Mus musculus: one gene and its partner. The protein of the gene in region 2 interacts with the protein of the main gene of each other region in a pairwise test. Links are inferred from orthologs where the notes say so. Each region holds a gene or a part of one and is shown on either strand. Other genes may lie near its edges.

Region 1 (2,616 bases), on a different chromosome or scaffold from region 2:
AGAGAGATTTGGGGGTCAGACTATTCCTGACCCCCAAAATCTTGTAACTCAGATATAGCTCAGAGTCCAGCAATCCCACCAGTGACTTATTTCTTTACAGTAGACACACACACACACACACACACACACACACACACACTTTAAAAGTTCACTACCAGCCGGGCATGGTGGCGTACGCCTTTAATCCCAGCACTTGGGAGGCAGAGGCAGGCAGATTTCTGAGATCGAGGCCAGCCTGATCTATAAAGTGAGCTCCAGGACAGCCAAGGCTATACAGAGAAACCCTGTCTCAAAAAACCAAAAAAAAAAAAAAAAGTTCACTACCCTAACATTGCCATGCAGAAAGCAAGCTTCCAAGCTTACCCCTGAGGCCACACTGAAGCCCTACTGGAATCAGCACAGGTGGACTGGGCTCAGTCTAGTCTCAGCCACCCTGGGCTTCCACATCCACCCTCTGTCCCCACAGGAGGCCGTGGAGTCCTGCCTGACCCGAGTCACCAAGCTGGAACTGCAGCAGCAGCAGCAGCAAGTGGTGCAGTTAGAAGGTGTGGAGAACGCCAACGCGCGCGCCCTGCTGGGCAAGTTCATCAACGTGATCCTGGCACTCATGGCCGTGCTGCTGGTGTTTGTGTCCACCATTGCCAACTTCATCACCCCCCTCATGAAGACGCGCCTCCGGATCACCAGCACCGCCCTCCTGCTCCTCGTCCTCTTCCTACTGTGGAAGCACTGGGCCTCCCTCACCTACCTCCTGGAGCATGTGCTGCTGCCCAGCTGAGCGGCTGCCGCCCCACCCTGTGCTCTCCGGATCCCACTAGCCACAGGCATCTCCAGGAGGGCCCGGGGCTCCTGCGTCCCTCGGGGTCTGTCATGTGACCTGTTTGGCCCCTAACTGTCCCTTCTTTTCACTGCTTCTGTCTGACACCATCTCCCTTTCGGCCTGAAGGTTTCAGAGAGGGTGCTCTGGGCTGGAGGGAGCAGGGACACTCTCAGCCAAATGGAGCAGTGGGGAGACACCAGGGCTGCATTATTTGAATTATTTTGCAGCCACATGGGACTTTTCTGGGTTGACAAGAGGATGCTCTAGTCATGTAAGCCACTAAGATAGAAGGCCAGTCTCAGTTTCCCTAGGGAAGAGCCCATCCTGGAGGCAGCCACAGTTTCCTCCCATGGAGATGGTCTGGATAAAAGCCAGTGGGAGGCCCTGCTGAGCCTAGAGAGTGCAGAAAGGGGAGGGTCCCCAGCCTTGGGGCCAGAGGGCAGGCTTGGCACAGCCACTGGGAGCTCAGCCTCCCCTCCTCCTGCTTCTCCTTCCACTTGAGCTGGTTTGAGACTGGTTTCTGGAGGCTGTGGGGTGTAACTTTGGGTTTGTATTTTTTCTGCTCATCTTTCTGCCTGTCACCGGGTGTGCTGTTTTTCTGAAAAAAAAACAGGCCCCAAGGGCCCTGAGCCTCCAGCCCAAACCCTTAGACCTCTGGGATCACGTTGAGTTCTATTTATTTATTTACTTATTTATTTATTTGTACCCACCCTTCCCTCACTTCTGCCCAGCTGGGCTCCAGAGAGAGGACCCTGCCCATCCTCCTTTTGAAGCCAGGACTTATTCTTGGTTCATCATACTCCAGACCATGTATCCTCTGGTGTCCTGGCTGGAAGAAGGGGCGTGTGGCCATGCAGCCCGCTCTCCCAAGCTGTCCCAGCAAATGGGCAGGAGGGGCATGGCCTCTTTTATATATATATATCTATTTATTTTATATGTGTGTTTGTGAGGAAGAGGATATTTGTCATTTCCTTAAGGCTCTGGAGTGTTGTGTTCGATTCTGCACAGCCCAGCCTCCCCGAGGGCCTTTCCAAGCACAGTGGGGATTTCTTAGAACAGGAGAGAGGAATCCATGAAGCAGGAGAAGCAGTGCCTGCCAGCTGTGGTGGACCTTCCTAAGAAATAAATATCCTTTATGTTTTCAAACCATCCTGTCTGAGGTCTGCTGATTACACTGTCTCTGAAAAATCACAGGATTTCTCCCCACACTGAAGCATTCTGGGTATCATCTGCTGGCCAGATGTTGTCTTCCATACTGAATGAGGAACACACACACACACACACACACACACACACACACACACACACACACACTCACCTGCCTTGCTCTGAGCAACTTAAATGATATGCCTATCAATCCATCCAGCCCCAGCTTTGTTGGAGCACTTCCCAGAAGGGAAATGGAGAAGCGCCCATAGATGCTGTGACCAGTTGTAGCCACAAGGGGTCAGCAGAGTCCGTGCTCCAAAACCTCTCTCAAGACGAAGTCCTCACAAGGCTACTGGCTTTAGCTTGGCTTTGTTACACTTGTTCAGCTGAGGCAGGGAGTACCAGCTTTCCAAGTATGGTGTGGAGGCCTAGCACTTAGTGCCTGCCCTGTGGTTGTAGCACCTACCCCTAACAGCCCCAAAGCACTTCCCAGCAGGACCTTTGTGGATATTTGCAGTAGGCCCTTTGCAGGAGAAGGCAGCAAGAGGAGCTATGATAAAGCAGAACAAAAATAAACCAAAAAAAAAAAAAAAAAAAAAAAAAACAACCTTTGGTCTCAGCACATAACTAGTGCCCTGTAATTAACT
Region 2 (3,830 bases):
GCCTAGCAAACACAGAAGTGGATGCTCACAGTCAGCTAATGGATGGATCACAGGGCTCCCAATGGAGGAGCTAGAGAAAGTACCCAAGGAGCTAAAGGGATCTTCAACCCTATAGGTGGAACAACATTATGAACTAACCAGTACCCCTGAGCTCTTGACTCTAGCTGCATATGTATCAAAAGATGGCCTAGTCGGCCATCACTGGAAAGAGAGGCCCATTGGACACGCAGACTTTGTGTGCCCCGGTACAGGGGAACGCCAGGGCCAAAGGGGGGGAGTGGGTGGGTAGGGGAGTGGGGGTGGGTGGGTAAGGGGGACTTTTGGTATAGCATTGGAAATGTAAATGAGCTAAATACCTAATAAAAAATGGAAAAAAAATTATTTTTTATAAAAAAAAAAAAAAAAAAGAAAGGTAGAAAGGATCGTGTCAGCTCAAATTCTATAACGAAACAATACTGGCAGTCTGCCTTTATTTCTTTCTGAGACATTATTATATGTACAATAATATAAAACTATGAATAATGAGCCACATTTTTGGCTTTGAAATCTAGCCATACAGTACTATAAGACTATGTGTATGTGTGTAAGAGATCAGACTCTAGAGGGACAGTCGATGTAAATCTCCAGTCTACTGATCATGTTCAGTCTACTCCCTTCTCTCCCTCCTCTCTGCACTCTTGCTGACGCCTATATTGTTTTCTCCCTAATATCTATGATAAACACCTTGCCCTTAATCATGTCATGGAGCAGTCATGTAGTCAATTTAGATAGGTGGGGGAAAGTCCAAAAGGCCTCAACGTCAAGAACTCTAGTCAATTGAGGAAAGCTGGGAGCAAGGGAAGTGGTCTTCCCCAGGGGAAAAATAAAGCCTACAAGTTGGTTGTCCAGTGATAAATGGTCAGCTCTAAAAGTAAAATACACATAACAAGCAGTATTATACAGACTGAGAGACACACACACATAGAGGTGTGTGTGTGTGTGTGTGTGTGTGTGTGTGTGTGTACATATATAACAATTAGTGAAAAAAGAGGCCATGAATTTGAAGGAGAGTAGGAAGAGGTATATGGGAAGGTTTGGAGGGTGGAAAGGGAAGAGAGAAATGTAATTATATTGTAATCTCAAAAATAAAATAAAAACTAAAAAGAAAAAAAAAACAAGGGCTGGCAATCTAATGGCACTAATGAAGCCAGCTGCAGACTAAAAAAGCAAGATTCTTTCTTCTTTCTCCTGAGGACTCTCTGCACCTTCAAGATGTCACGTTGCAACCCCCTTCTTTGAATGACTACTGTTCCCTTCCTCACTGAGAAGCTTTGTTCTCTCTCTAAAATCATAAACTGTCAAGAACTTCACTGTTTGACCTGAGATCAGTGAGAATGCAGCATCTGAGGCCTGCCTGGAAGATCTAACACTCTTTAACAAGGAAACACAGTCCTGATGCATAACCGAGGTGCTGTGCTAATCTTCAGAGAGTGGACACATCTCACAACCCTTCTCACTTAGCTCCGGAGGAAGCTGGACCTTTGTCTGTGCTGCAGGTGATGCTGGCACATTTCTAAACAGCTTTGACAACGCCAAGAGATATAGCCGGGTTAGTAAGCTAGCCCAAAATTGACTCTGGTAGAGTTCCCATAGGAGAAAAGAGTTAACAGGCTCGAGGTTTTTTGAATTCCATGTTCACTTCTGAATATCTAGGTCTGGTTAGGATAGAAAAGAGCCTGGCATCAGAATGTGTGTGTGTGTGTGTGTGTGTGTGTGTGTGTGTGTGTGTGTGTGTGTGTGTGTGTGTGTATCTACTTTCAGGTCATTTTTACTCACACCCAAGTGATGGTAGATGATCGATATACTATTGTAATTTATCTGTAAAAGATCAATTAGGTTGGAAATGGTGAAAAAAAAAGATAAATCATCCAAACAATAAAAAAAGAAGAGATTATATATTTATCAGAGAATGCAAACTGCCTTGTCCTCATGCGACTAGAATGGCATAAAGGTAAGGGACAGAAGTGTTTAATAAGTCTCATAATGGTTAGAGGCTACACAAAAGAGTCTGAGGAGATTCCTTAGGGAACAGAAAGAATTAGTAAAGTTTTTAATTTTGGTTATCTCTGTAGAGGGATGTTCAGCATGGTTGCCTTTAGTAACAATAGAATGCAACTCACACTTATGCTTAGGGAAATACACAGAGAACAGTTGGCATACGCTTCTAATTCTCAGTGTGCAACCCCAATGAACACTCTCTTACCGCATGCAACCGTCGAGCGTGGTACTCTGCTGCTGAAAAGTAATTTCCTGGCTTGAGCAGTTTATCGGTCATGTTTGATACATACACACCAATTTTAGTCATCTGAGTGGAGGTGGTATTTGTAGTTTGTTGTAGCTTTTTTTTCTGAAAAACTGTCTAAAATGAAAACATGAAGAGTAAGCACCTACTACATGACTTCTATAGTAAAGAAAATCTTAGAAGCATAGACAAGTGGAGAGTAACTATTTTAGTTGTCATTATTTATGTGGAGAGTGGATGGACGGCAACCTGAGTGAATGTCTGTCGTTGCCATGAGCATGGCCGTGGTAAGGACCCCAGTGCCTCCGATCCTGGGAATGGTCATGCTTTCCCAGATCAGCCTCAGAGCAATAGCAAAGCCTTCCTTCCATAGATCACAGTGAGGAAGCTGACAGTATGTGAAGAGAATATCATTTCCAGCTTCCTCCTCTCTGATGGCTGCAATTTGAACCTGTTCCCCTAGACACCCGCTAAGAGCTGAGCCACCTTCCACAGTAGATTCCATACCCAGTGGTGTATAATAAGTGTGCCGAGTCTCTGGGCCACTGGTACGTCTCTATCAGAGCACATGACTCAACAGATCCCAGCTTATCCATCATCTCTTCATTACCTGTCACCTCAGTGAGGTCAGTCCCAAACCTGTGCAGATTGGGGCACAGTTAAAGAGAAATTCGAGGGGACCAACCAGGATACCATTGCCACACACAAAAACAGAAAGATAAAAATATTACCTGGGTGTCCCTACAGAACAGATTGTCTTTTTCAGGAATCTTTCTAGGTACAGTTTGTGTTCCAGCGTTGTGATATTCTAGTCCTGTTATTTTATGTCTAAATCCTCCAAGAAATGGCTTGTGGAAGTCAGATTTTATTATCTCAACTGCTACCTCCTCATAGCGATCGATGCCTAAGGAATGAAAGGCAAGGCTGAAGGAGAGTTCGACAAGGGCACACTAAAACACTTGGTCTAACAGTTGTTAAGGACTCACTGGTCTGAATGGTGACCGTTATGATCTGGGAGCCCTCACTCAAGCCCTCTATTCTTCTGACTGGATATTGGTCAGGAAGTGTGGAAAACACCTCCACTTGAACAATTTCTTGTGGTTTGATTCCATATTGTATTAGAGATTCATTATTCCCAACAATGATGCCTAAGAAAAATGAAAACGTTAGGGTGTTTTATGTCACAGAGATAGAAATTTCTGTTTATTCTTTATTTTAAATTGAAAATGTTATATATGTTTAAATTTGTAACAAAGGATGTTTCAATCAACATATGCCCGTGCTGTGAAATGGTTAAAGAAAGCTAACAAATCCATTATTCACGTACTTACCTTCTTTGGTGAGAACACTTCAATTTTACTGTATTAGTAATTTTCAAGCATATAATGCATGCTGTTAGCTATAGTTACCATTATATGCAGTGATCAACCAGATATTCCTATTTTAAGGAAATGGAAAATAACAAAGCTGACTGTAGGAACACATGTCAGTAAATTACTAAATGTAATATTAATGATTTCTACCTCATACTATAATGTTCGTACAGACA

Evidence for each region.
Region 1: the proteins of Iqub (region 2) and Tmcc2 interact in a two-hybrid assay, tested with the Homo sapiens proteins (2 studies listed by BioGRID and IntAct). The two-hybrid records come from large-scale screens. The link is inferred for Mus musculus from reciprocal best matches to the Homo sapiens genes IQUB and TMCC2.

The regions. Positions count from the first base shown.
Region 1 is NC_000067.6:132,355,668-132,358,283, reverse strand, and holds the end of Tmcc2 (transmembrane and coiled-coil domains protein 2), read left to right. Parts: intron 1-466; coding exon 467-778; 3' UTR 779-1,969; downstream 1,970-2,616.
Region 2 is NC_000072.6:24,498,001-24,501,830, forward strand, and holds part of Iqub (IQ and ubiquitin-like domain-containing protein), read right to left. Parts: intron 3,430-3,830; coding exon 3,268-3,429; intron 3,186-3,267; coding exon 3,013-3,185; intron 2,399-3,012; coding exon 2,243-2,398; intron 1-2,242. UniProt on the Homo sapiens protein: Adapter protein that anchors the radial spoke 1 (RS1) complex to the A microtubule of outer doublet microtubules in axonemes. The triple radial spokes (RS1, RS2 and RS3) are required to modulate beating of the sperm flagellum.